Linked DNA regions of Lepisosteus oculatus. The protein of the gene in region 1 purifies or fractionates together with the protein of each later gene. This does not show direct contact. Links are inferred from orthologs where the notes say so. Each region holds a gene or a part of one and is shown on either strand. Other genes may lie near its edges.

What was found.
Region 2: the proteins of tssk6 (region 1) and fkbp5 purify together in Homo sapiens (affinity purification with mass spectrometry; 4 studies listed by BioGRID and IntAct, with this or other methods). This does not show direct contact. The link is inferred for Lepisosteus oculatus from reciprocal best matches to the Homo sapiens genes TSSK6 and FKBP5.
Region 3: the proteins of tssk6 (region 1) and cdc37 purify together in Homo sapiens (affinity purification with mass spectrometry; 4 studies listed by BioGRID and IntAct, with this or other methods). This does not show direct contact. The link is inferred for Lepisosteus oculatus from reciprocal best matches to the Homo sapiens genes TSSK6 and CDC37.
Region 4: the proteins of tssk6 (region 1) and hsp90ab1 purify together in Homo sapiens (affinity purification with mass spectrometry; 4 studies listed by BioGRID and IntAct, with this or other methods). This does not show direct contact. The link is inferred for Lepisosteus oculatus from reciprocal best matches to the Homo sapiens genes TSSK6 and HSP90AB1.

The regions. Positions count from the first base shown.
Region 1 is NC_090724.1:7,190,671-7,197,427, reverse strand, and holds tssk6 (testis-specific serine/threonine-protein kinase 6), read left to right. Parts: upstream 1-4,728; 5' UTR 4,729-4,971; coding exon 4,972-5,790; 3' UTR 5,791-5,815; downstream 5,816-6,757. Other genes in the region: ndufa13 (NADH dehydrogenase [ubiquinone] 1 alpha subcomplex subunit 13), read right to left, coding at 63-134, 2,084-2,162, 3,156-3,249. UniProt on the Homo sapiens protein: Serine/threonine-protein kinase component of the sperm flagellar doublet microtubules. May act as a regulator of sperm motility by mediating phosphorylation of sperm doublet microtubule proteins.
Region 2 is NC_090700.1:40,510,276-40,518,334, reverse strand, and holds the start of fkbp5 (peptidyl-prolyl cis-trans isomerase FKBP5), read left to right. Parts: upstream 1-4,880; 5' UTR 4,881-5,190; coding exon 5,191-5,225; intron 5,226-8,059. Other genes in the region: pth4 (parathyroid hormone 4), read left to right, coding at 1,743-2,070. UniProt on the Homo sapiens protein: Immunophilin protein with PPIase and co-chaperone activities. Component of unligated steroid receptors heterocomplexes through interaction with heat-shock protein 90 (HSP90).
Region 3 is NC_090706.1:15,649,614-15,657,444, reverse strand, and holds the start of cdc37 (hsp90 co-chaperone Cdc37), read left to right. Parts: upstream 1-4,652; 5' UTR 4,653-4,745; exon of another isoform or gene 4,746-4,763; intron 4,764-4,876; 5' UTR 4,877-4,927; coding exon 4,928-5,035; intron 5,036-6,882; coding exon 6,883-7,164; intron 7,165-7,831. UniProt on the Homo sapiens protein: Co-chaperone that binds to numerous kinases and promotes their interaction with the Hsp90 complex, resulting in stabilization and promotion of their activity. Inhibits HSP90AA1 ATPase activity.
Region 4 is NC_090697.1:43,351,622-43,358,928, reverse strand, and holds the start of hsp90ab1 (heat shock protein HSP 90-beta), read left to right. Parts: upstream 1-4,128; 5' UTR 4,129-4,238; intron 4,239-5,817; coding exon 5,818-5,961; intron 5,962-6,202; coding exon 6,203-6,409; intron 6,410-6,549; coding exon 6,550-6,709; intron 6,710-6,982; coding exon 6,983-7,116; intron 7,117-7,307. UniProt on the Homo sapiens protein: Molecular chaperone that promotes the maturation, structural maintenance and proper regulation of specific target proteins involved for instance in cell cycle control and signal transduction. Undergoes a functional cycle linked to its ATPase activity.

The sequences.
Region 1 (6,757 bases):
AGGCGGAACGCCAGAACCAGCGCCTCTTCCCCTGTGCGGCGAACCCCGGCTGGCGCCCTCACCTGCGGTCGTGCTCGGCCTGCAGCAGAGGCAGCAGCGCGATCCGAGCCTCCAGCTCCTCGATCAGCAGCCGCCTGGAAGACGCAAACACCACCCATCATGACGCGCGGCCTCGACTCCGCACTCTGGGGAGACTTTTTTCTCTTTTTATCGAGACCTTTTCACACGGGCGTGTCTTTCACACGGACACATTAACAAACCTGAGCCTCTAAAAAAAAACAATCTCAAATAGTCATGGATCCCCAAGACTTGCCAACCCCAAGGACAGACTTCCTTTCCCATCAGCCTCTCAGGGCCTCCAGTAAATGACAACCCCCCCCCCCCCCCCATGGGGCAGGACAGGGCACCCTTCCCGGGCAAATTATACTGGCACAATGCCGATGGGCATTCGTGTTCTCAGTTTCGTGCGGCCACTGAAGCAGCTCTCTCTGAGGGCGGGCACATCTCCATGACACACCATTGCTAATGGGAAGGTTTAAGCAAATACAACTAGAAATTAGTTGAAAAACTGTATCCACACGGGACAATATTCAGAGATTTCATTTTGCCACAACAGATTTATTGTTCCTGATCTCTACAATGTGCCGCACTGTGTATGTCCCAAGAGATCAGTGAAATTAAACATTCTAATGTACAAGTACATATGGCAATAAACTACTCTAGACCAGCGGTTTTCAACCTGTGGGCCAGTGGGCAGTACTGGAGAGGGGCTGTCAAATGATTGTTGTAATTGTGAAAGAATCATAAATATATAACATTATATATATATAATATAAATAACAATATAAATAATGTATAGATATTATGGCTTAGCATGCTGCATGACAGCTTTACAGGTAATGAGTCCCCATTACCTGTAAAGCGCTTTGAGTGGAGTGTCCAGAAAAGCGCTATAGAAGTGTGAGCAATTATTATTATTAATTATTATTATTAGATGTGACATGACGAGAAAGCTAATGCAGAATGTAGTATTAACTGCCTAATCACCCTTCATATCATGGAGAAATGGCTTGTGTTTGGTTCTCTTATGAGACACAGAGGAAGGCCCATCTACAAGCACAGAAACTGCTTCAGTGTCTCATACCGATAACCCAAAATCCAAACCCAAACTAAAGAAGAGAAAACATAGCAGTGAGTACCTGGCTCTGGGCTTTCCGTGCCTGGGAACTGAGACAAGCCGCTGCTATTGAGTCACTGTGCATTCACGCGTCCAGTGGAGGGGGAGTTAACATCTACTTCTGTTTAAGAATTGTTCTGATAGTTACCGTGCAGATTTTTGCTTCTCAGCGTCTTCATAAGGTCATGGGCACAGAAGGCTGCCCCACACTTCTGGAAACACTTTCAGCTCGTTTGATCCCGCCCGTTCAGTTTTGTTTTGGACAAGGCTAGCGTTAAGCGTGTGAGATATCATAATAAAGAAAAGAGCTGTACTGGTGCCTTAGTTTTTACAATATTTGTTTTATTTTTATTTTTATTTATTTTATTTACTTTTTGTGAGGTGCTGACTGGACTCCTTCTGTAATCAGTAATCGGTCTTTGTAAAGCCATGCTTGTAGCTCGTATGCACGTATTTTCTCTGATCACCGGTGTCGATGAGGCTACTGCTGAGGTACAGAGCGAGCCCGTTTCAAAACGGTGAGGACGGCCTGGTCTCTGTATGGGACCAGTTTTTATGGTCAGTCATGTGGGCCGCGTGCTGTAATAGGTTGGGAACCTCTGCTCTAGATGGTTTCCTTGTCTCTTAGGGTAAAATAGGAAATAGAGTCTAAAAGGAACAGATTGAAATGTTTTATTTACAAAGCGCATATTGATAGAATGATTGCTCTGAACGTAGTCCAGAACGTTGTTTTTGTACAGTACAATTCTTTCATGACATATACGTAATAAACACAGAGGAAACTTTTCTTTGGGGAAAACCAACAAACAATATGGGAAAAACTGTTTTTTTTTTAATTTAGAATAAATATAATCTCCTGAAAAGCAATTCTCTGAAAGACAGTCTGAACCAGAAAGGCCAGCTTACCGTCTCTCCCTGTTCCACTTGAAGAGTCGCCAGTAACCGAAAAGCAGGGCCCCGATACCAATACCAAACATGCTATACCCTGAAAGTGACAATAAAGAAAAGATCAACGGACAACTCCACTGTCAGAGAGCAACTACTCCTCAAGCTCGGGGAACAAGGGGGACGGCATCAGTCCACCCCAGGGGCAGGGAGAAGAGGAGAAACTGCAATAGCCAATCCAAAAGAGCACCTGGTGCAAAAACCAGATGATTAACTTCATTCCAGGATGTTTATTTTTATTTTCTTAGTTGTTAAAAGGGTTGACTGTCTGTGAAATGTATTATACATTGTGTTACGACTTTAACTGCGTGCAAATCAAACAACCCAACTGGGCCAATATAGAAAGTAAGGACTGTAATTACTGTAACCAGAGTTTTAGGGTGAGATGTGACTGAACACGTAAGCTTTTTGTGCATCACTGACGTGTTCCACCTGAAATTCTCACGCTTCTGGACGGTGGTGTTATTTAATAGAAACCTAAATAAAAATAAACCAAACTTTCTCGAAGGAGAAATAAAAAACAGGAAAACGAAAAGCGAGTTTTCAGAACTCATTCATTCCTCCCTGGTGAATGTCATTACCTTACTCACAGGTAAGCTACAACGGATACACCTATACTACAAAACCGGAGCATGCAAACTGTCCTAAGTAAGAATTGATCGTTTCCATTACATATATAGCGATGCAAAAACCGTTTTATATTAAGATCTGTGTAGATTAAAAATGAACGTTTATGAGACCTATGTCTGCATGTAAACACTACATCAAAGACAAAGGAAATGAGTCCAATACATCTTAGAAAACAGGATACATTTATGGCTTTAATAGACGTGGAAGTGTTTGTTTTGTTTTTACAATTACAACATTACATTTTTCTATAAATTCTGAGCTCAGACAGAGGTGTCAAAACTATCGAAAAGACAAGCGGAGCCCAGGACTACGTCTGCCGTCCAAACAGACCTCCAGGTTAAAGAGGGGAAACACAAGCCTCCGCGCTTTTTACCCTCATCGATTGAGCGGCATCAGTACTGACCGGAAAGCCCTCTCTTCGGGAGATTCCTCTTGTAGTCAAAGGAACCGTAGCCCCCCGGAGGAGGCATGTCCTGCTTCACCTTGGACGTCGCCATTTCGGTTCCTCACCGCAGCTGCAAACCGCGCAGAACTGTGACGTTGACACGCTGGCCACGCTTCTTGATGACGTCTTCACGTCCTCCGTTCCGACAGCACGCTTCCGCCATGCTGGATTTGGCAGAGTACTGCAGGTGGAGTATAAACTACCACTGACTTAGTGGGAACGCAGCAGTGCGTATGGAAATTGGAAGGACTACTTTGAATTCTCCTTATTACACGCAATAGTTTTCCCTACCCCAGAAGATCAACGGGAGTCCAAAATCAAGATGTAAATGCCATCGTCCCCTAAAGATATGCGATATGATAACTCTAACCGATAACCGTTTACTCCTATACTGGAGTCCTTGCACTGGTTCCTCTACGGTTTTGTCAATTTTGAAATCCTGATGTTCATCTATAAAGCTCTGCATGGCTTGGCACCTCAGTGCCTGTTTTGAGTTACTATCGTCCTACTCCCCACTGATTTCTCATGCCATATATTAATATTTTTATCCAGGCGTGTTTTAACGTATAACCCCTACGATACATAAAAGTGCGTTAAATATTAGTCTATTCTGCGTATTAAAAAAATAAAAGTTATCCCATTAAATATTTTTGAATACTTTTAAATATATATCAATTTATTATAGAAGCATTAAATGCCTTTGCATTTCGCAACACTAAAACACCCACAAAAATGATTATGGAATAATTATTCATTGATAATTCAAAAAATTATTCATTGTGGAGTCGTAGTTGAATTTCTCGCAGACTAAAATAAAGGCATTTAACTTTACTTGGAAAGTAAAGCGTCGCATATATATTACGTCCGTGTATTATTTACATATTGTGATATTCTGCCCAAAATATTTTTTTTTATGAGGGGAGTTTTAGTGCATAACGTAAATAGTGTGAAAGAATCTATCATTTACGGTGCTTTCCCAAACAAAAACCATACAGTAACATGATATTAACTTTAACCGTGTAATATGAACATAAAGAAAATGCGAATCTTGACGCGTATCTTTAAATCAACCCGTAACTAAACAGAAAACATTGTAAAGTAGCTTTGAAGGGGCTCTAGGCTTGATGGTTGAAAAATCATCAAACCTCGATTGAAAGCTGATGTTCAGTTGTGCAATATGCTTCACTCAGATCACTCCGTGTACATGCACAACTGACAGATCCAAATAAATGTAAGTAGCTTCTGAAAAGACGTCTCCGAAATGTAAGAAAATCTACCTGATAGGGGCGTTTCTCTAACTGTTGTATCAACTACCGGACGACCGAAGCGCAGCCCAGCCCTCCTCTGTCCAGCAATAGCGGAAAATACGTCACACATCACCTAAAACACACACACGAGGTCCAGCTACCGAAAACGTCATAATACATTCACAATAACGACTGGCCGAAGCCCTGCCCCTTAAATACTGGATCAAATGAATTTTTCGAAAGCCTGTGTTTATTTACGTATTGAGAAATCCAGGGCAGTTTGTCATTCTAAAGAGCGGAAGGGTCATCTGAAATCATTTTCAATGGCTTGCTGGGGGACGTGTGGCCATTCATACGCGACAGAGGTCACCGGGTGACGTGTGTCTAAACTTCATAAGGACGACTGGATCACAGACCGGTACCGGCACAAACCACACAGGCCTGGACAGGAGGAAGAGACCAGGGGCAGCGGCTCTCTGATGGCGTGATGGCTCTTGCACATAAACCTTAAAGGAGGAGAGCCAGAGATGTCCCGGGACAAGGTTCTGACGCTAATGGGATACACACTGGGCTTGACCATAGGCGAGGGCAGCTATTCCAAGGTCAAGCTGGCCACCACCAAGAAATACCCCCAGCAGGTGGCCATCAAAATCGTGGACCGGAGGAGAGCCCCCCACGACTTCGTCTGCAAATTCCTCCCGCGGGAGCTGGCCATCCTGAGAGGCGTGCGCCACCCCCACATCGTCCACGTCCACGAGTTCATCGAGGTGTGCAGCGGCAAGCTGTACATCGTCATGGAGGCGGCGACCACCGACCTCCTGCAGCGCGTCCAGGAGCTCAGCTCCATCCCCGGCCCGCTGGCCAAGGTGCTCTTCTCGCAGATCGTCAGCGCCGTGGGCTACCTGCACGCCAACGACATCGTGCACCGCGACCTGAAGTGCGAGAACGTGCTGCTGACCGCGGACAACCAGGTGAAGCTCACCGACTTCGGCTTCGGCCGGAAGGCGCTGGGTTACCCGGAGGTCAGCAGCACCTACTGCGGCTCGGCGGCCTACGCCCCGCCCGAGGTCCTCCTGGGCGTGCCCTACGACCCCAAGAAGTACGACGTGTGGAGCCTGGGGGTCATCCTCTACGTCATGGCGACCGGGTGCATGCCCTTCGACGACTCCAACGTGAGCAAGCTGCCGCGCATCCAGCGGAAGGCGCTCGTGTACCCGCAGGAGGTGCCCGTGGAGGCGCCCTGCCGCGCGGTCATCGGCTCGCTGCTGCAGTTCAGCCCCTCCACGCGCCCCTCCGTGCAGCAGGTGTCGGAGGACCCCTGGCTGGGACAGCAGGGTGACCAGTAAACATGCCGGGTGGCTGGGAGAGAGAGCCGTGTGCTGTCAGTGTTTTGAGTCCACCCAGTTCTCGGTGTTGGTACATTTGTAGTGATGGTTATGGATGCAAATGATCCTGTATCCTGGAAAGCAAATGTGTTCAATGGCCTCGGCTCTTTTGTCCTCATATTCTTTGTTTTTATTCTTATTTTTTTAACCCTAAAGAGAAGCGAGGCTGGGGTGAGAGCAAAGCCGCGTTATTCGAGTTAGCGGCTCTTCCGCGGTTTGTCAGCGCGGGGGGTGGGACTCGTGCACCACGCACTCGTGATATCAAACAGCTGCGGTTAGGGGGAAAAAAAATACTGTTTAACCTCAGATATGAAACCCCTTGAGGTCTGGCACTGAAGAGTCCTATCCCAAATTGACGATTTAATTATTTCAAAATCCGAAACACTGCTGATAATGTTTTTGATACAGAAGGTCTAAACATGGTCAAGAAAAATCACAGTCCAGCACGTCTTAGGGGACAAACCTCCGTTAATCGTACATTCGTAAAAATATGGAATACAAACGCCTACTTGCTCAATTTAGTTAAAGCGGTATTGTTCAGTTAAATCAGGGTCACCTGTAATGTAGCCATCAAGAGCTACAGCAGGGATCTCCAGTCTTGCTCCTTGAGAACCCCAATCTACTCATTCCTAAATCACCCACGCTTCAATGTTAGGAACATGTTTTAAATGCAATTGATCAGTTAAGCAAATAATATTTTAATGGAGGAAACCGTGGTCCCCGAAAAATATTATTGAAATATATTCTGGTTTTTGTACCAAAATGGTCTTTAAATGACATAACTGAACATGCCTTTAATTAACCTGTCCGGAGCTCTCCATGATCAGGGCTGCAGATGTCTGGACCTACAGTGTGTTGGTATTATGAGCTACTTGCCCGAACACATCACCTGCCTCAGTGGTCAAAGCTGCAAATTTGTTTCAGGTGC
Region 2 (8,059 bases), on another chromosome or scaffold:
GGCGTCCAATGAAGTCAAAGTCTTAAGGTGTTGAGAAGCCGAAGCCGCTCGCCCCGCCTTTGCTTATATTGTTGAGTCGTGCAGTGATGAGTGAGGCGTGCAGACCCGTGCTGCGGGCAGTGGGGAACGGGGTACCCCCGACATGCCGAGGCGGACGAGGTGAAAACGGGGCGATAAATGAGCAGTGCGAGGAGAGGTTCACTCTCGCGCCCCTCCTCCGCCGCTGCGCTGCTACAGGCGCCGAAGAGCTGAAGTGTGACTAATAACCGTCCGCGAAACCGCTATCGCACCCGCCTGGGACCGCTGCTCTGGGGACACAGGGAGGTGGAGTGAGGGCGAGATAACACGGAACTGGGGGTGGATACATCAAATGCACGAGAGACATGCTAACGAAGCACCTTGAATTTAATTGAATTGATGAAAGCAAGAGATAACATTATTAATCGGAGCCCGACCCACTGAGGTCTGCACATGCGCTTCCCGCTCCGCCCCCCACCCCCCTCCGTACCAGCTCTTCCCGGCCGTGCTGCACGAGCCGCACGCACTGCCCGAGCGCGCTCAGCGTGTCCCCGCAGCTCGAGGGCAGGGAAGCGCAGTCAGCTCGTGCCCAGTCCCGCACGGACAGCGATTTGACAAGGCGCGCGGACAGGTTTGCACGTCTTGGAACACGTGGTTGGTAAAAACCCAGTGCAGCGTGGACAGGGTGCAAACCACGTGTTCAGTCAGGGAAACGATATAGAAATACGACAGAGATGATTTTTTAAGCGCATTACCCCGAGGCTGAGAAGAACAGGGCTAGGTGGAGAAGATCTCCCCCGTTTTTATATAATCTGTCCCATTTCTGAATTACCCAAAACAATCCCTTTTCTAATTGAGACTCTTAATATAACCAGGACAGCTACTTCTGCTGATCTTTGTGTTTTCAGAGAAGCAAAACCAGTTTACACCTTATCTAAGTAATCCTGATTGATTTTAAAAGGTGTTTAAACATCTGCAGGCAATGGAATGAAGCCAGTCATTGAATTACTTTAAACTGGATGTAAGTGAGTACATGTGAGTCTGCAGCTCCAAATCTGTTTTTGTAGAGCCAGATTAAAAGGAAGCTAAAAATCCGAAGAGAGAAAGGCTGAAGACTTTGGGAGTGAAGGACTAGGGAATCAATCAATCAATCAATTAGATTCTTATATTGTTGCACTTTCAACCCAGAGCATTCTCAAGGCACTCTACAAGTTAGAGTGCGCCAGCAATCAGTGTGTCCTCTGCAGGCGGGGGAGTGATCAGTGTGTCCTCTGCAGGCGGGGGAGTGATCAGTGTGTCTTCAGCAGGCGGGGGAGTGATCAGTGTGTCTTTAGCAGGTGGGACAGTGATCAGTGTGTCTTTAGCAGGTGGGACAGTGATCAGTGTGTCTTTAGCAGGTGGGACAGTGATCGGTGTGTCTTTAGCAGGTGGGACAGTGATCAGTGTGTCTTTAGCAGGTGGGACAGTGATCGGTGTGTCTTTAGCAGGTGGGACAGTGATCAGTGTGTCTTTAGCAGGTGGGACAGTGATCGGTGTGTCTTTAGCAGGTGGGACAGTGATCGGTGTGTCTTTAGCAGGTGGGACAGTGATCGGTGTGTCTTTAGCAGGTGGGACAGTGATCGGTGTGTCTTTAGCAGGTGGGACAGTGATCGGTGTGTCTTTAGCAGGTGGGACAGTGATCAGTGTGTCTTTAGCAGGTGGGACAGTGATCGGTGTGTCTTTAGCAGGCGGGCTGTGACTGAGCACCAGTACATGCACGACAAGGGTCGGGCCATGCAGAGCCTGAAGAGACTCATCTGGCTGTCCAGCGCCATGGGGGGTCTGCACACTGCCAGCACCCGCGACCTCAGCGACCCCAGCGACCCCAGCCCGGCGCGGGACCCCCCTGCTGAAGAGGGGGCGCACGGACCCACCACCTGCCGGGGGGAGGCCCTGCGACTGCTCCTGTCCCTCCTGGGCAGGGGCTCCCTCCAGGCCCTGTGGAGCGCCCTGTACAAGCCCCACCTCACCAGCCTGCAGGACAGCACGGACCACGGAGACGGAGAGAACTAGACCCACAGGGCCAAGCAGCTGCCAGTTTCATTGATCTGTACCGAGACCTTTGTATATTTGTATTTACAGCATGCATCCAGTGGTAATAAATTTGGTCTAGTTTAGATTTCTGACCTCTCTCTTGTGCAGCGGTAAGCGCAAAAGAAAATGTCGGTGTTGTGACGTATCCCTGACACACGTTTCTTAGTGCTGGAGCGAGATGAAAGCAGAGGCAGGTATAGCACGAGCCACAAGACAGACTGCGACACCGCCAGTGCTGCACTGCGGCCTGCCGGGCACTGATGTCAGAGAGGCCCTCTGTGCACAGAAGAAGGGCTGACGTCCTAGTCACCCGATTCTCTCGCTCAGACCCCCAAGAAAGACCTGGAGAGCAAAGCCCCCCCCCCCCCTTCTCTCTAGGGTCTCACTCGCTTGGCCTCTGATCACCCCAGGGTGATCTGTGGACTGGCCGCCTTCTCTCAGCTCACGATCGTCCGTGTGCCCCTGTCCGCTGTCCCCTGTCGCAAGCACGGCCGCTTCAGCTTTTTCAGACGAACCGGCGGAGTAGACGGCGGCTGTGGGAGAAGACTGCCTGTGCCAGAGGCTTTCTCGGGGGAGAGCTTCAGGAGCTCGGAGAGAGCCCCGGGGCCCCAGGAGCTCGCAGGGAGAAGAGCAAGCACTGCTGACAGCAACACTCTCTGAGATTTCCGCACAGCTTCCTTTTCCAAAGGCCCTACATACTCCTGCTTGACACATTTACACTTCGCTGTATGAATAGGATGCTTTTGAATCACAACTGGATTATTGTAGAGCTGTATTGGGTTTGATAAGCCGATTAAATCTTCCGCTTTGGTGAAGTTCAAGGCACCTTTCTGACAGCTCCATGTGCCCATTTCCTCCCCTCACCCTGCCTGCAGACGAGGCGTTCTGCGTGAAACACACGAGCGAGCAAATAGACATTCTGTACAGGAGAAGATTCATACTGTATGTACTGTCGGGTAACGTGATAAAAAATAAAATCTGGTGGTTACTTCCGGTGCAATTGGACCCTGTCTTTTAGGACTTTTTTGTCTCTTGTTTCTGTCAGCTTCCTGTATCACCTTCCTCGTACCACATTGCGAAGGCGCCGAGTCCGAACGGGTTACTCAGAAAGTGTCAGAAGATAAAGCCCAGTGGAAGGAAATGAAACAGATTGGATGCTGAAGCAGCTTTCTGTGTGTCTGGGTTCTCTCGTTGCCTTATCTTGGGGGAGCGGTATGAAGTGACAGAGCGATGGGAACCCCTTGCTGCCTCCTCTTGTTGTGCCCCGAAGCCCAGCACCCCAGCAGACCCAGTGAATAAAGCAGGCGTTGTGCCCTGTTGCTGGGGGGTGTGCTGTGGCCCCAGTGCCGGCGTGTGATGGCATTCGCCCGCAGTTTGAGAGTGGTGCCCTGTCTTTGCCTCCTTGTCTGGCCTTCTGCTGCCCTCTGCCTTCCTGTGCCTCAGCCTCACACTGGCGCTAGGTCGCGCCAGTTTGGTGAAGACCTGGAACCTGTCGGCTTTTACAGAAAAAAGCGCCTGTGTGTCTTTTACGGTACTTCATGTGAAGGCCGCGTTGTGTTCTGATGGAGGTGCCCTTACAAGCATTCAGTCCAGTCAGTCTGCGTGGCACTCCTGCTGATATTCCCCTGCTTTCAGAACGCTGGTACCATGACATGTTTCCTAAGGGTCACACAGAGGATTGCGGAGGATTATAGAAGCCAGGAATAATAATGCTGGAATCTGGTGTTTATGGAAAAAACATGTTCATTTTTTCCATGTGCAGAATGGTGTGTGTGTCTGTGTTAATGTGTGTGTGTTTGTGTGACAATGTGTGTGATAGTGCGTGTTTGGGTGAGAGTGTGTGTTTGGGTGAGAGTGTGTGTGTCTGTGTGACAATGTCTGTTTGTGTGAGAGTGTGTGTCAGTGTGAGAATGTGTGTGTTTGTGTGTTGTGTCTCTGTGAGAATATGTGTGTTTGTGTGAGAATGCGTGTGTTTCTGCCAGAGGATGTGTGTTTGAGAGTGTGTGTGTCTGTGTGAGAATGTGTATGAGAGTGTGTGTGTCTGTGTGCGAGACGGTGTGTGTTCATATACTTCTTTAACTTTCCATTTTTTGCAGGCATCTAAATGAATGTATCGGTTTTGCATCCACGCACTGGCCGAGCCCGTTCGGACTGCGGTCTGTGAGTTAGCGCACTGTATTTTCCACTGTTCCAGGCACTATTTTTAGCCTTTGAATGAAAACTCTCAGCACACTTCCCACAGACAAATAGCTACTACGCGGCTGCTTTTTTTTATCAGATTAGTACAGGACATGTTGTACTACTTTACTTCCTCACTGCGGTGTCCTGGACTGAACTCCTCTCTCACGTTTTGTCCTTCTTGCTCTCAAACACACAGGCGGCGCCCCGCTATCTGCAGAGAGACAGAAGGGGGAGAGGGGAAAGACAGGCCACAGTGCCTGGCTCCTCGAAGCAGGACACAGGCTGTGCTGCAACTGGATTTCACAGCTGTAGCACTGAGACTGTCACACTAACAAAACTCCGCAGACAGCAAGACTGGCTGCTTGCATTTGTCAGAAGAAATTAGTAATGAGCACTTCCTTCCTCTCTGTCTGTGAATGCAAAAGTGATACGGTAAAAACAGACTCCGTAATTGTTTTGTTTTTAAACCTCGATTGCGCATGCATATGAAAGAGTTGTGAGAACAATTAAGCAGTTCCAGTGACCTTCTCCACAGCTGAAATAACTGTCTGCAGCAGGACCCTGCGTCTCACTCGGCGCCAGCAGACAACCTGTAATTGTCTGTTCCAGTCTGAAGGCACACCAGGGCTGCAATTGCATGCAGGCATGCTTTGGTCCCTGCTTGAAGGACATGAGCGCTGGCGTGTGTGGCTCTCAGACACTCTCAGGGCCGATTTCATCACTTCTCACACAAGTAGTCGTCTAGCAGCCCGTCACTAAGGAAGCTACAATGCATGGTCTGCACACTCGTCCCACACCTGGGAGGGAGGCTGGGGATCTGGTCAAGCAGTGGAATAAATGAAGAAGTGGCTTCTGGGTGTTTGTGCAACATAGATTTGAATTTCTGAGTGTTCACTCAGGCCAATACACTTGCAGGCAATGCCTTCTCTGCCATGTGACCGCCGTGGGCACAGGTAAGGATCGACTGTTTCTGATCAGCGGGGCTGTGGGTCCCAGCTTTGTGGTTGCATCTGAGTGGAAACACTGTGTGTCACTGCAGTGCTGATGCAGGGTCAGTGCACCACTGGGACCTCCCTGGTCTGGGCCTGGTCTCCAAACAGATCAGAGCGCATGGGAATAATTGCTGGGGGTATGAGCCTGGGGTCCTCAGAGACAGAACCTGTCTGTGTTTTTAGACTAGGAATGTGTATCACCCTGACCATGCAGCAGGCAGTGTCGGGGGAGAGCTTGCTCATTTGTATATAACATAGAAAGAGACAGAGCATGTACTGCGCAGCTGTGATGAAAGCTCCTGAGCTATTTCTGGTTGCAGTTAGTAAATGCACGGAACACAATGTAACTTATGTCAAATATCATCTGCCCACGGTGATCTCACTCGGGAAAGTGATGGTGATGTGTTGAGTCTGTGTCCACAGTCATTTATTTTAATCAATCACAGAGGTGTTTTTCTCCCCATGCCCTCCAAGACAGTTCACAAATTTAGTGCCAAGAGACCAGTGAGATTTCAAAGGTGCTCTGCATACTTTGTACAGTACTGAAGAACATGCCGTACAACTCCTCTTTACAAACAGAGCACTCACAGCACAATCATGGTGAAACACAGTACACACGAAACGATCATGGTGAAACAGCACAGTCATGGTGAAACACAGCACGATTACAGTGAAACACAGTACACACAGCACAATCATGGTAAAACAGTACACACACAGCACAATCATGGTGAAACAGCACGCACATGGCACGATAATGGTGAAACAGTACACATGGCACGATTATCGTAAAACAATGCACACTGCACGATCATGGTAAAACTTTGGGAGAAGTGTAAATGAATTTTGTATTTCTTATTATTTTGAATTTTTGTAATTGGCTCAGCTGGACTTCCTGAAACAGCCAGTGGTGACAAACATTCAGGGTATCGGATCGGCATCACGACCTCAGGTCAAATACCGAGACCATCGGAATGTCACTAAGAGTGTGTCACAAACCGAGTGTGACTGTCCCCGAGGTAAGACAAAACTGTCAGAATGTTTTCCGTGGTAAATTTAACAGACAAGTAAAACATTTTGACACCCCATTGCCTACTGTCAACAAGGAGCAGATTGTCCGAGATCACCCAGGGAAGGTTTTCTAAAACCTCCCTGAACGCGCACCCCGGACCCCCAGACAAGCCGCTCGCAGCGGCCGACAGAGGCGGGACACCGGCAGACTTTGGAAGAAACTGCAGCCCGACAGCAGGCACAGAGGCGATCCTCTGCTGGTGAACAAACAAGACCCTTCTACTGCGGTTTCTCTCTCCCAGAGAGGAAGAACAGCGAGACGGGCGAAACGTGAAAACGATTTACAGGGCAGCAGTATGTACAGAACATTTTGCAAAGTTCTTCAGCTAAAGGAAACTGATTCGTACTACAGTTATCTGTGTTTTAGTATCCATGATAAATATCCATTGTACTGTATATAGAAATTACACGAGCGCCAGTGGCCCCGCCCCTGTCTCGCGTCCACCTGTACTGTCACTGTGCTTCACGAGCACATTCTGTTCCAGCTCCGCTTGGCTCGCGGCCAGACTCGCTGCACAGCAGGCTGCGGCTGCGCGGTGCTCGGTGAGGGAGGCTGCGGGGGGGTTGGGGTGTATGCGGGGGGCGGTGTCATGTGGGTGGGCTGTTGGCTGGGCGAGTATTGCCCTCCAGAGCCACCCCCCCCCCCCGACGTACACACCCACAGTCACACACACTTCCACAAATATACACACACTTTAACACTTCCACACTCACTATCACACTAACATACACACACTAAACATACACACGCTCTCTCACTCACACATACTAATAATCACACAGTCTCACACACTATCATAAACATCATATCATGTACACACGCACACTCACTCCCTCAGGGCTCTGGTCTTGAGTTGTGAGTTCAGATGGGACACTGTTACTGCCCACCCCAGACAGGAGTTCAGCTCACACTGGAGTTTGTTCACTGAAGATGAAAGGCAAAGGCCCGAAACACTTGAATTTGCTTGTGGATTTGAATATAATGCACATACTGTCCTTGGTTCTGTTCAGCGCTGGAAGCTGAAGTCTGGAATTAAATGCCGCGTAAAAACACAGGGAAGCGCATCCGTGTCTGGAATGGCAACAGGAGGAATGAACAGTCATGCCGAAGCTGGAAGTAACAGAAAGCATGGTAGAGAAGTGGCTCTGTTATTTATAGCCATTTCGGTTCCTTCAGTTCTTGTCTATAAAGACTCAAGCCCAGAGAGCAACATCTTGACACTCCTTTGAGCCGCTTGGTGTAGCGGCGCAGAGCAGTGCGCAGAGTGGCTCTCTAGGGGGATGGTTTAGGGGGATCAGGGGGATGGTTTGTCCCTCATGTCTAGCTAGTGGCAGCAATAGCTGTTTGTTCCGATCAGGACTCCCCCAGTAAGTATGGTCCCCAACCCCACCTCTAGAGCCTGCTTTGTGTTTCAAGGGAGACCTTAATCACTGACACTAATTGATGCCATTAAGTGATCTGCTTGCTTGTTTGGGGTTTTGTTCACCTGTTTCTGCATTCAGTCCAGATTTTAAACATACCTAGCTTCTTCCAAGCACGTCAGCACACACAACATTATGCAATCTGCCCCAACATGTTGAATAAGATTTATGAGAACTTCCATTGAAAACAGCTCTTACTAGCTGGTCGATCCACGTAGAACAGATGCAGGTACGAGTGGCACTGTATCGGGCACACCACACAGCGGGTATGGCATTGTATAAGATACGCCCATAGTAAGGGT
Region 3 (7,831 bases), on another chromosome or scaffold:
TCCTACCCACCTCACAGACATGGCTGTGCAGGCAGGGAAGTTGGAGGGAATCGGTTCTACTGTTGCCTGGCCACAGGTTTGCTGGGCCTGTTGCTGAACGGTGTATCTGCACTTGTAAGCCTCCGAAAAGGGGCAAGATGTCCATCACCACGCCAGGTCGCAAGCTGTTTATCCCTTGAACTCCGGTTTCCTCAATAAGATGAATTTAGAGCACACAATTTATTCTGGTGCCTTGTCTTTCTCTCTACACGTTTGAAATCCCTAATCCCAGCACACTCGCACAACTGAATCCCCGAAGGAAGAGAGAAGGAGGGTAATGAAAGAGAGAAATGCCAAGGGGAGAGAATTAGGACCTGTCGAGGCTAGGGAGGGATGGCTCTCTGGTGGGAATTAACTTGGCTTTCTGAGCACATGGGGGGAAGGCTGTGTCTCATTACTCTCGGCTTCTGCACACTGCTGCTATCAAAGAGGCTGAGAGGGATTTTGAGATGGAAGATAGAAAAACCTTTAGCACACACAGTTCTCTTTCAAATTATCCAGCTTTACCGTTACTGCAGCTAAATGCATTTGTTCTTCTTCAAGATATTAAATCCGCAGACAAAGGAAAGTTCTTAAACATTCAAATAAGAGTAATTTTATTATTTTGTCTGATCTAGAGCAGGACTTTCTGTTTTAAATCCTCAGATTCCCACACACTCTCTGGTTTGGTTTTTGTTCTTCTCATTTAATTAATTGAACCTTTAAATGAGCTTTATTGGAACCATGGTGCCTTCAAAGGATTTCATTGCACCTCTGCTTTTATGGTCCTGAATGATGTCATTATTGGCCATCGTCGGACCAATTAAAAGACTTCTCCCAGCTGTTGAAGTGCTGGTGCCTCAAAGAGACCAAACTTGCACGAGCAGAACCAGAGCCTCCTTGATCTATAACAAAACAGAACAACTTTGTAATTCTGGCCCTGGTGACAATAGTGTCTAGACTTTCAATTTCTTCATTCAACAAATAATTTGACTTTTTAATAATTAAATTGATCCTTTTGAAAATCGTTTTCTGTGACTAAAAATATTATATTTTCAAGTTATTTAATGAATGTTTAGTTGTACAATTATTTGACTTTTATTATTATTATTAAACTAAAATTAATATTGATGATGATTCAATTACAATGCAGAATAATTAATAACCTGATAGTGCCCTCTGCTGGTAACAAACCAAACTACAACTTTAAATTAAAACTGGGGTGCTATCTGCAGGAGGTTTGTGTGTTCTCCCTGTGTTTGCGTGCATTTCCTCCAGGTGCTCCGGGTTTCTCTCACAGTCCAAAAACATACTGATCTTCTGTGAAAATCAGCCCTGTGTGTCTGTGTATCTGCCCTATGACTGACCTTCATCCCGTCCAGGGTGTATCCTTGCTGGGATAGACTCCAGCTCCCCCACAAACCCTGGATAAAGGGGCTAGAAAATGGGTGGAAGGAATTTATATCAAGGCCTATTCATGAGGAACTCAGGTGGACGTGCATTCCAAACTGAGAACAGAACAGGTGGTGAGAGTTTGAAACCATCTACCCAGCCATGTATTTGATTCCGATACCCTGATTTATGTTTTTCAGGAATCAGCTGAATAAAATCTTTGGATGAATTAACTGCTAACTACCAAATGGACTAGATGGGCTTGGAACTTCTGTACTTTCCAGTTGTGGCCTCTGCCTGATATTTCAAATATTGATTCTAAGTAAGTCCATTGGGTTGAGCATGTCAAATTCTTGTTAGGATTTCGGGTAATTGAATCAGTTCCCCTTTGTACAGAGAACAAAGAATTAATTCAGTAAATCCTATAATGTATCTGGTTGCTCTTTTCTGGATTGGTTCCAGAACAGCAGTATATTTTTTCTAATGTGGTGACTAAAATGGTACACAGCATTCTAAATGAGGTTTTACATAAAAAACTTTGCTTTAAATTTTCCACTTAACTATACATCACAAAAATTCTGATTGTGTTTTTTATTACTGCCCCACAACATATATGATGTGTCTGATAATGGATGGATGAGAGAAGCAGATTTGGGCTCTTGAGTTCTAATTGCATGTGATTAGCATTCCTGTCACTTCAAGGCAAATTGTTATTTGTGAGCCTCCCTAGGTGTGACTCATCATTTTAATTGGATTTCTGCTTTTTGTGTATTCTAAAGACTTTTCTATTCCGGGCAGAGCGTTGGCAACACAAATACATTTTATTTGCCTTTCAGTTCTGTTCATTCTAGTCCATAATGGGAAAAAAAATCAGCTTTCTCTGGAAAGGAAAATGCAACTCTTGCTTAACATCTGTGAGAAAAAAGTGTAGGTGGGTATCTGCGTCAGCATGCATAGGCTGCAACGGAACAAGTAAAGGTTTATTCCATTCTGATAAGAGAAGAAAGAAAACACAACGTTTCGGCTGTGGAGCCTTCTTCGGGTGTGAGGTTTACTTTCATGTGGCAGGGCTCCTTTGCACAGACATCCTCGGTTCATGTTAGTATGACAGAAACTGAGCATAACCACATTGACGGTGCCTGCGTTATATAACTCTTAATGCCTACAGAGGGCACATGAAAGATGAGCTGGCTTCTAACTAAATACAATGCAACCTGCAGTTAAATCTCTCTCTCTGCACCCCAGATGCCACAAAATAAATGGGAGCCTATATCCCTATCCATAAAAATGCACCCTTAACAGGAAAGATGTTTCTAACTGAGGTATCTTTTAACCTGAAACCCAAGTTCCCTAAAAACCCTGAATAGCAAGCCCTCTCTAACAAGGTCAAATACTTACTGTAGCTCCAGCCAGGTTTGATTTGGATGGGAAGAGGCCCAACGAGTCTCCCTCTACGAAGTAGGGGCTCTCACTTGGCGCAACTTCAAGTCCCAACTCCTCCGGACTCCTCTCTGTTCCCTGCTTCTTGTTTCTTCCTCTTTCTCCCCTCTCTGTGCTCTTGTGATCTTATATTGTGTGTGTCTGTACTGCTTCTTGAAAATCATTAATCCACAAGGTACCTAGGTATACTAAGGTCGACTTTACAGTTGTTTCTGTTCAAGGGACCCCCCCAGACCGCAGCAAACATCCTCTGGGCTTTGAAGTTAGAAGTGTTTACTCTTCCAAGTGTTACAAACTTTATCTAAAATCTAAGAGACACTTCTCAGTCATCTAAAGCTCTAGCAATATTGTAACGCTACACATGGTTCACATGGGCACCCTCACCACTGCCACATCAGGTCAGCCCCCCACCGTCAGGGACTCAAACCCAGGCCTCCGGCATCACTCAACAGGGACCCAGCCTCTTGAGCCAAAGGGAAATCTCCCATCAGCCCAGCGGCTGCAGTCCCTGCTATTCACAGGGAAGGGCAGTGACATCACCGCTCTGGTAAGCCAGCTCTCACAAGCAATGGAGGCCGTATGCGTTACAATATGCACAGTATAGTTATTCCTGTCTGTGTCTAGGATGTTGAAGACTTGTGCACAGCAATTTACACAGCTGTGAGTCCAGTTGTGATGACGGCGTGTTTTCTGTTTTTTATATTTGGAAGCAAGTTGCAGAACTCAGCATTTCTTTAAACCCAGAATTTCCCGCTGTGCCCAAGTTTGGTCCATTGCCAATATGTATTGTTGGTAATGAAGGACGAATTAAAACTGGAACGTGTCTGGAGACGCTTCCAGATTCTAGAACACGGCGCTCCTCAGGCGTCTGAGGGAGGAGTGGGGTTTGTGCCTGGAAACGCCATTACCAAATAGTAGTTTTTCACAATGCCCATCCTTCCGTTTTCTAACTGCTTCTTCCAATTCAGGGTCGGGGGGAGCTGGAGTCTCTCCCAGCAAGGCAGGCTGCACTGGGGACGAAACGCCACTCCATTGCAGGCCACACACAGCACACACACACTCGCACCAGGGCCACTTTTCCAGAAGCCAGTTAAACTGCCAGCATGTCTTTGGACTGGAGCGCCTGCAGGAAGCCCGTGGGAACATGAGGAGAGCGTGCAAACTCACTGCTCCACCGTGGCGCCCATCACAATAGCCAGCGAAGTGTAGAAACAACCAACTTTATTCAATCCGTTTAAAAGCCGCCATCTCAAAGTGCTTGTAAGATGCCAAAAGAAGAGAGACAGTTTTTTATCAAGCTCAGTGTCCCCCTAGCCAAAGTGGGACTCGGGTTTGGAAATTCTGGTCCACCGACAGCAGAAGAGCGACTGTAATGTTTGTTCTTTTGTTAAGCATAAATAAAATTTAAAAAAAGAAAACAACTGAGATTGACATTATAGTCTGAAAACAAGACTGTAGCACAATGTCAGTTAAAAATGAAATAGTCCACTTTAATATAAAATGAATTTTGTGGATATCAACCCTAGACTTATGTTTAACAGATTATTTTCCAGTTGGAGTTAATCATGTTTTTAATGTGTAGTGCTGAATTTAATTTGGAACAAAATATTTTCTTCATACCTATAGTATAATCTCTTGCCGTACGGATGTCCGGCCGCCTGCTGCCCGGGTGGGCGCAGCCATATTTGCATGGTCTTTTCCAGACTCGAGCCACAAAGGGGGAGGGACGTCGACGCTAGAGAGCCGCTCCTGCTGCTCCGCCGCGAGCAACAGAGCGGCGCTTCACCGATTTCTCGAAGGGGCGCGAGAGAGGGGAGGCTCCGGGGCCGTACGGAAGTGACGTTCCACACTTCAAACGGAAGCAAAAGAGATTTCGAGAAAGATTCAGAGGCAAGGCGAGTGACGGGTTGGAGGTAGATCGGAGTGTTCTTGGGGTGTTTTTTTTTAAAGATTGCTTCAAAATTTAGATCACCGGGCCAATAAGTGTTGAGGTTTTTGTTTGTGTGCTGTATTTCTTATCTTTTAGAGTTCATTCACGCGCCGGGCTGTCCGTGCTTGATCCGACCTCGCAGCGAAGATGACAACTATAGACTACAGCGTGTGGGATCACATTGAAGTATCTGATGATGAAGACGACACTCACCCCAACATCGATACCCCCAGCCTGTTCCGTTGGAGGCACCAGGTGAATTAAATAATCGGGCCTGACACAATGAATCGCGATGGCGTTTGCAGGGCACATAAGCATGTCTGTGAACGTAGAATTTTACTAGGGGCCGGGGGAGCTTTCTGTTAGGGGCTCACTAATCCACCGCCCACGACTGCAAAAAGTACTGGAGTAACAAGGCAGTTCATTTTATTTTATAATATTTAAAATGCCTACTCCTAAGAGCTTGCCTTGATTCGTGCACGGTACTTTGTGGTGCACCAATAACAAAGACCCGACGATGTGTTTTTGCAAAAAGGCGGTACTTCAAGCACTCCTCAAGTCTTCCCAACACGTTTTGGAATACATCCCCCCCGGGGTCTGCGCTGTTTGTGCTCAGTTGATGCTGTTAATGCGCGTATGTGGTTCTGGGGGTGCTGTCAGCCACAGTTGCTGGGTGTGAGAGGGCAGGAACCAGGCTTTGCACGGCCTCTCGGCTGCTGGTGGGACCTGCCTGCTTTCGGAAGGGGGCTGCTGTGCCAGGAGTGCTCTGATCCCGGCGGAATGCGACTTCCCTCGAACAGCTGTGCTCTTTCTAGCCCGCTGGTGCCGGCCCTCCCGCCCACACTGGGGGGATTAACCCCTGGCTGCTTCACTCTCGGTTGATTTTACTTTTAACTACATGTTTAGCATCCCGGCCCTTTGACAGGAGGGAAGTAATTGCGATAATTAATGACGCAAAGGGGAGGGCATTAGAAACTAGAAAGGAAGGTGGGAGGAAGAAAAACAGCGGAAAAGGAAGTTGCATGGGGAATATAGATCAATGGAGAGCCAAAGGGAAAAACATATCAAATGATCAGGTATTTAAGTGCTTATATCTAAATGCTAGGAGTAGGGGAAACCAAGTAGAGGAGAGAGAGAAGCTACCACGTTAGCAGGCAGTTGTGAAGTTATTTTAATCACAGAGACCTGGGTGCCTGAGAATGATGGAGAGAAATGTAACATTAGTGGAGACACTCCACTCTGTTCCAGAGAGGCAGGAAAGATGAAGGAGGGGAGGGGCTGTAGCTGTATAGATAAAACGTTTTCAGCTTCAGGAAGCTCGAGTCTCTGGATCTGTGTGGGACAGGCTCATTAACGGAACATTCCAAATGTACAGGGTTCGGAGTAAGATATAGACCAGCAGATGCTGATTATAATTTGGCACTGTGTAATAAAGAAATGTGCATAAGAAGCAGTTTTAATGGGAGACTTTTTCCAAGGCAAAGACGAATAGGATTATCAATGGCAGAATCTCTCACCCACTTCGCCAGTGCATCTGCAAGGAGGTGCTTGTATAGATCTCGCCTCATCAAAGTCAGGACAGGCTAACAGAAACAGATGAGTGCACCACCAGCGTGGTGTGCACAATATATTGTGCTGTGAAGTGTTTTTGTGTGCGTTACAGACTGAGTGCCAAAGCGCAAAGTATTACAATTTCCAGGAAGCAGAAATTTAAGAAATGGACTTTTAAGGAGGCGGAAGTGAAATAAAATGGGTTTCTTACCAATTGTTAGCCATGGAAATGAGACATTATTGAGAATACACTGATGCAGCCCTTCAAGAATCGTGTAATACGGTGGTTGTACCCAGGAACTGGAGAAGTGTTAACTGGTGTGGACAAAAAGTGAATACTCAAACTGGGGTGGTGTAATAGGTACCAGAGAGAACTGTACCAGGATGATTGCTTTTCTTAATTTATACAGATTAAAGGCCTTGTCACTGCAGAATACAGTAAAATAGACCAGCTGTGTTTTCTCTTTCTGTTGGGGGCTGCCGTTTCCCTGTGAGGCACAGCTTCGGAAATGGCTCCCCTGCCTCTTACTCAGCCCTCCTTCCCCGATTAGGCCAGGGTGGAGCGCATGGAGCAGTTCCAGAAGAAGCGGGAAGAGATGGAGAAGGGGCTGACGGAGTCCAAGCGGAAGACGGCGGAGCTGCAGAAGAAGATCCGGGAGCTGGAGATCTCGGGCACGGACGACGCCAAGGCGGAGCTGCCGAAGCTGCAGGCCGAGGAGCAGCAGCTGAGGAAGGAGGAGAAGAAGTGGGAGAAGAAGCTGGACGAGCACCGCAGGGAGGAGAAGAAGCAGCCCTGGAATGTGGACACCCTCAGCAGGGAGGGCTTCAGCAAGGTTAGTGTGTGTGTGTCCTCCCCAACACCGCCACTGCCAAAAACCAGTCCAACAAGTTTAGTTTTGTGCAGGCCGCCGGCCCGGGTTTCATGGGGTAGAGCCTCGATCGCGTTTGTAACAGGCAGTGACTGAGATGAGTGCTGGCGTGCTGCCGGCTGAGCACTGCTGGGGTTATGGTTCAGATGAGTGGGCCAGGGTCAGCTCTACCAAATGGCAGCTATTGCCACATCCTGGGTGCCTGCTGGTTTTGTAGTGACACCAGCAAGGGCCAGAACTCTGTTTCATGCAGATGCCAGAAGGTCGGAGGAGCAACACTGCCCTTTCTTATTTGCCTTCTTTTGGTATTGGGATTATTGCATGGGGTTATTGGGAGCTGTAATGAAATGCTGAGCCAGTTAAAACTGGGTGGGTATTACGATGGGAACGTATAATACAAGTGTAACAAAACAAGAAGATAGAAAATGGTTCCTGATGAGCAGTGGCCATTTGGCACATCTTGCTGGTTTGATTGATACTTAGCAGCCTTATAGACCAAAGACGCAGGGCAGCACATGGGCAAGGGAGATTAGCACAGCTGTGAGGGTCTGGGGTTCGATTCTGTGTGGAGTTTGCATTCTCCTCCCATGTTTTCACCCCACCTCCTGAAGACATGAAGTTGAGGTTTGGT
Region 4 (7,307 bases), on another chromosome or scaffold:
GCGAGTGAGCTCAATAGTGCATGTAAAAGCATGGAAAGGGCAATCACAGAATACTGCACTGAAATCTGCTGCTCTCTTAAGACAGTATGTCCTTAGAATCTCCAATGCAGAATTAAGACCCAAGGAAAAAACAAAGTCCAACAGCAGACGGCAAATAATGGCTCAGAAACCAGTTGAACCCCGTGACAGACAATGAAGATGAGTGTGTACAGTTGTAACTTCTCAATATTGTGGTCCAGTCTGCAACACCAAATGTGAAGCTGGTAACCTGATAGATGAGTGTTACGATCTAAATCAATTTTTCTATCCACAAGTTTATCTTGATGTCACTTGCACTTCTGCAATAAGCCTTATCCTGCTCTGGTGAGAGCTGCTGACAGCAAGGTTGCAAAAGTCAGATCCAGCACTTGTAATAAAACAGTGTTTCTTACTCTCTTTTGTAATATTGTTGGCTTTTACAGTAGTTCCTCAATGTTTAGCAAGAACATTGACTTTCAGTACCTAATCTGTGAGCAGAGAGAAAGATAGCCCAGAACTGTTTAGTGTGCAACTAGTGTTGGTACCAATCCATCTGTTAGCCTAATGATGTGTGGTGAATTTGTGGCTATACTTGTATTTGTGAAATTTCTATACTCCAAAAATTAAATAATGCTGAGATTGAAAAGGAGGCTTTAGTTTTTCTCATTTGAATTCCACATTCAGGACACAAAAGCTACAGGTCCTTCTTTTTTATTCTCAACTGCATCAGACATATCACTGCACCCAAACCAGAAGGTAATGCATCACAGGATAATAAATTAATAAAATATCCAGGTCTTTGAGGGAAGCAATATTCATCCCAAGGTGATGCCAATCTGGCATGATGTGACGTGGAAAATTAACAAAGGACTCTAAAGAGCTGCACAGATTAAATCAAGAGATGCTAAGCAGGACACTTGAGAGAAATGACATTGAGACCAAGGCGAAGAAATAACTTTTGTTTTAACTAAAAGCAAAAGAGAGACATAAAAGGTAGAGCTGTAGATCGGGAAATTGGCTCCAAAAGACAAGTATATCATGAAAATAAGAAAAATCAATGAAGCACAGAACAGTATTGTAAACGAAAAACAAAATGCTAGTTTTCAGTAGATATTCAAATAGACGTCAACACACGCTACAGGGGAAAAGAGGTAATGTTATAAAGCATTTATTATGTTGTTGACAAACATGGACAAAAACTATGTGACCTGAATGAAGTACTGAAGAGGAGGTACTGTATACTAGAGCAAAATTCAAAGGACATTCTATGTCTGAAGGACAATAGTAGCTTTTATTTTTTCTAAAAGGTCAGCCTATCTAAACTAATATGTATGAAATACTATGGATACTGAAAGAAAATCTTGTTTTCATTCACAATTCTCAGGTGAACTGAAATCTAGTAGCTATTACGGCCAGCAGCCATATCACCCTGCAACTCACAACTGGCAACCCACTGAAGCTAAGCAGGTGTGAGCCTGGTCAGTACCTGGATGTGAGACCTCCTGGGAAAAACCAAGGTTGCTGCTGGAAGAGGTGTTAGTGGGGCCAGGAGGGGGTGCTCACCCTGTGGTCTGTGTGGGTCCTAATGCCCCATTATAGTGATGGGGACACTACACTGTAAACAGGCACCATCCTTTGGATGGGCGCTTCTCAAAAAGAGTAAGGGTGTAATCCTTACCAATCATGGCCTCCTAATAATTCCCCTCTATGAATTGGCTCCATTACTCTGCTCTCCTCCCCACTGATAGCTGATGTGTGGTGAGCGTTCTGGCGCACTATGGCTGCTGTTGGTGGTGGAGGGGATCCCCATTACCTGTAAAGTGCTTTGAGTGGAGTGTCCAGAAAAGTGCTATATAAGTGTAAGCTATTATTATTATTATTATAGTTCAGGTGGGTAGCTGCATCAGCATGCGTAGGCTGCAAAGGAACAAGTAATAGGTTTATTCCACGCTGAAAAAAAGAAGAGAACACAACGTTTCGGCCGTGGACACGGCCGAAACATTGTGTTCTCTTTTTTTTTTGGAAGCATCATATTATTATTATGATGATGGTATTAATGTGCTGATAAATGTGCCGGTGTTGTACATGAAATTAGCCTTAAAATTATATCAAATATAAAAATACGTTGAACATACCTACCATATTTAATATTCTCAAAATGTTGACCGTATTTCAGTGTTAAAAAACTCTGACATACCGTATTTACGATACGTAACATCAGACTGAAGGATCTGTGAGTACCTTTTAACCAGTCCTTATTGTATGGGTAGCAACAACCCAATAAAAAATAGTATTAAAAGCAAACCAGAACTAGATAGTTAAAACTAAACATCCATTGTGACAATAAATTATTTATTGTATAATAAGTTATGTTATTGTATAATAAAAAGGGGTGGTAATATTATTATTATCGTTTTTTTTTTAAATTAAAACAGCACTTTAAATATTTTTCTTTTTTCATACTCTCCTAAATTTTATAACCACATATCGACACAATATTTAATCGTAAATTCAAAATTAAGAATGTTCTGGATTGTACACATAAATTCTAATGCAGCTCAAGAAAATATATTTAACTACGGAGGCAGTTGCGCAGTTGCTATGGAAGCAGCTTGTTGCACGACAACCGAAAACGAAGCCCGGCAAGAACACCGCATTTAACATCCTGTGACGTCAGGAACCCGGGCGGGGTTTATGCAGAAATTTCTGGAAAAACCTAAGCACGCATTCGCGGGTATGTCTGTATCCTTCCGTTGGAGTAAGGAGTTCCATAATGAATCACACGTGAGAAGTAGAAATGTAGCGCATATCAATTCAGCCATGAAGAATTTGGTATTATAGAAAAAAATCATTTTGGAGTTAAAGATGGGAAGAGGATATTAACAAAATATCACAAGTAAAATATAACCAAACGTTAACGTAAAAGCGATATTGGTATATTATGTATTAAGATTCATACCATAGCATTCAGATATACACCGTATGTACTGTACTTTACACCCCTTCTCGTGACGTCCCTTCTGAAAAATGAAATACAGTAAATTTGTACCGTATTCCGCACGGTATTATCCATTATCCTTTCTATTTTTTAAAGAATTTACCACACTTTACACATTTAGTATGTTTCCAAGGTTTCTAATGGTGCCTTGCAATATTTCTCCATGTTCACCGTGATGTGTACATGGTTTATACACTTCTACTTTTCCTGCCTTAAAGATACAATAAAAAAGTTGTGATATTTTTTTTAATTTGCCTCTTAAAAGCTATAGGACAATTTACTGTTGTTGTTTCATCTGTCATCTTATTAACAGTCATCATTAGTATCACCAGACAGTTCTGAAAATAGGCTCGGGGTAAGTGTTTTGCCAACAGGCAGATTAATGTACAGTATCATATAGCAATGTTGACGTTTTGATATTCATGATAATTTTGATTTGGAAGTAGCAGCTACTGCCAGATACTAGTGCTAGATCCCCAACCTCATTTCAAAGCCACACTACATTTATGTATATTTTCACATACATTTCCAACACAATTGTGTTATTGAGATTTTTTGGATATATGTAATAATACAACAAAAATATTTTCTTTGCGACGAAAAAGCGATTTTATATATATATAACATGGAAAAGTACCACATCTCACGTTTTTTTGTTTCATGTACAATGCCCTCAAATTTGAGTATCACGTTATCATCTTTTTTACCCTACAAGGCTGTCCCGTGCAAATCTTCGAGGGTTGGTGTGTTGGCAGGTTGTCATAGTCTCTATAAATCATCAGTACCCGACAAGATGGGGAAAGTTTTGAACTGGTGCAATAAAACCCATAATAGACTGACAAAGAGCCAAGCAAGAGCAATGACCTTAAGACAAGAGACTGCAGCCTTAAGCACAGTGGTGCTGTGTTTATGATTGGTTTTAGAAAATCCTATACAATGATTTAAAGGCTAATACTGTATTTACTTATTTCTAATTACGTATTACGCACTACACAATACATAGACCTGAATAAATACCCATTCCAGTTTCTCATTGGGAGGCTGCAAGAACAGGGAAATAGCGCTTGTTTACGCGGATGGATACATCGGCAAGCGCAGAGGGTATAAAGATACTGTCTTTTAAAAGGAAATCCCTTTCAGTTTCTCAGCGTCAGAGTGCTTGGGGATCAGCCTGTGTGGTTGCATTTATTTCAAGAAAAGAACAACAGCTAAAACGTTAAAGGTACGTTTCTTTCCCCTTTATGAGTGTTATATGTGGTATTTATAGGTGAGCATAATAATTTTGTAAAAAAAAAACGTACATTGATGAGAGATGAGGTTTCGAAAGAGTGGTCCAAGGTACAAGGCTGCCTCCTGATCGCTGGATTGAATGAGAAGAAACATAAAACATGGGAGAAAAGAAATATCTAGTTCCCCGAAGCTGGGAATGTTCCAGCTTATTAGTGATCAGAGTAAATTTCTCTCAAAGGTAGATATGCGTCTAAAACGTTGTTTAGTACAATGGTTTCTGATGGAATCGTGATGATTAACTATTTAATTCTATAGATACATTTCCAGCACCTCCGATTGACATTAGTTTGCTGTAAGAGATCTAAAACTTACAGACGTTCCCGGTTTGTTCCATGAAATAAGTACATCGCTAGCTCTGACGTGAATAACATGCTGTATCACGCTTTGTCTTCCTGTATGTGAACGATTTATCCGTGGACATAAGCAGTAAAAAATGTGTAATCGACTGGATAGCGTTATGTTTTTTTTTAGATAAGCCGAAGTGAAAAAGATGTGCTATTCTTTCACTTGCAGCATAGTTATTATTTATTCTTGTTAGAAGGTTAAACCCACGTGTTCTACGTTAAACTGCATAGCAGGTGCCGCCATATTGTTCGGCTCCGGCGTCACTTCCGTCTCGAATGTATTGAATGATTGTGCGGAAAATAAAATGGAGTCTGTCCCTTCCCTTTCTTTAAATTACCGTTGAAGATCGTGCTATTTTTAACACGATCTTCGCTCCTTTGTTGCTTAGGAGGTATGTTTAACTTGCATTCCCAGCTATGATTGGGTGCCACTGTGCTGCCAAAAGCTGGCACACTGCAGGTGAAGGCTGGAGAATGCTGCATTGCGCCACACTGTTCATTTTTCTCTTGCTGTACTCGATAACGCAGCTCGAAATTCAAAGAAAGGTTTCATTTTACCCCGAGACTCGCGAGTCTGTTTTTGGTTGAGGTTCAGTTAAGGTGTCTCATGTATTCACAATAGCTCATTTATAAGCAGTTATCTTTGGATTTAGGTTTGCTTTATTTAATGGCTTATTGTGTGAAGCTCAGTTGTTGGAGTAGTTTGCTGCTGGTCAAAATTTACATTTGAAAAATGTAGTTGATTTATTGTTAAACAATAGAATTTTCCTTAATCTTCCAGAGTACAAAATCAAGACGTGCTGTATGTAATCCAGGGATAGGCAAGTCAAAGCGGTTGTCAGTTACTGCTCAGGGCTGCACAAATACCCTTTCTTGGTGATCCCTTTCCCATCAGTGTCTTATGTGATGTTGGCACACCCTGTAGTCCCAAGGTGCCTTGTTAACCCTGATATCCTGTCTGAATTCCACACTGGAAAATGTTCTGTACTTAATCTGCTGTGTAGTGGGGCTGCAGGCCGCTGTATGTCACCCAGTTGGGTGCTGCACTCCAGGGTGGCTGAACAGGGCCCTTTATTTAGTCTCCGCTGTTCCTTAACCCCTGTATGTATTTGTGTAAAAATAAGTGAGTGTTTCTCATCATTCTTTTTTTTACTTTTTATTTTTTAGATGCCTGAAGAAATGCGCCAAGAAGAGGAGGCTGAGACTTTCGCCTTCCAGGCGGAGATTGCTCAGCTGATGTCTCTGATCATCAACACTTTCTATTCCAACAAAGAGATCTTCCTCAGGGAGCTGATCTCCAATGCTTCTGATGTGAGTCCCCTGTGTCTCAGGATTTTTGGTCACATGTGATTGAACTTCTATTTAATGAACCCTACCTCCATCGAGCTTGGTTCAATGTTGCTTTATTTAAAAACAGCTGTGGCTGTTTTGTAATATACCTCTTGCTTACATTTTAAAAGTATTGTAAAAATATTTTTATTTGTCTCTTGATTACCTAAACACCTCTCAATCCTGTCTGCTTTATTAAAATGTAAATGTTATGGATTTTTAGGCACTGGACAAAATCAGATATGAAAGCTTGACCGATCCCTCCAAACTGGAAAGTGGCAAGGACCTCAAGATTGATGTCATTCCAAACAAGAATGAGCGTACCCTGACTCTTATTGACACTGGAATTGGGATGACAAAGGCAGACCTCATCAATAACTTGGGAACCATTGCCAAATCTGGCACAAAGGCTTTTATGGAGGCTTTGCAGGTATTGCATCACAAAGCTGAGAAATGCATTAAAATAATTTACATTAATAATGTAACGTCTTAGCGGTGCCATTGCACAAACAGTTTAATAGTAAATGGCTTTTGTTGGTTAAACTCTTATCTCAATGTTTGCTCTTCCAGGCTGGTGCTGACATCTCCATGATTGGGCAGTTTGGTGTGGGGTTCTACTCTGCTTATCTAGTAGCTGAGAAAGTTGTGGTCATCACAAAGCACAATGATGATGAACAGTATGCCTGGGAGTCATCTGCTGGAGGATCCTTCACGGTCAAGGTTGACCATGGTATGTGGCTTTGTTAGATGACAAATTAACCTTTTTTATTACCTTAAATTCAACAGCTTTTGGATTTTCATCCTGCAAAGTGGTCAGGCCATAAAACTGGTGGCAGAGCATTATATTTTCAAAATCATTCATATTTGGAGTGGTACCTGTTGCCAGGTGAAACCCTTTTCTCCAGAACACTTTACTTTTTGCCAAAGACTTACTAAAAAGCAGGACAACACTCTTGAAGCTGTAGAAAACAAGAACCTTTAACTAATAAAACTTTTTTTGAAGGTGAGCCCATTGGTAGAGGCACCAAAGTCATCTTGCACCTGAAGGAGGACCAGACTGAGTACATTGAGGAAAAGAGAGTCAAGGAAGTTGTGAAGAAGCATTCACAGTTCATTGGGTATCCGATCACTCTGTTTGTAAGTATTTTGAAAATTGGCCTTTTCTCTGTACAGTGCTTGTGTTCATAGCAAATGATTTTTTTCCCCTTGCTTTTAAGCTCACAAAAGAGACTTTACTCACTTTGTTCCAGAACATGTAATGTTTAAAAAACAACTGTCCACCAGGAATAATAATGCAGCATGCAAGCTTTAAATGAATTGCTCAGTAG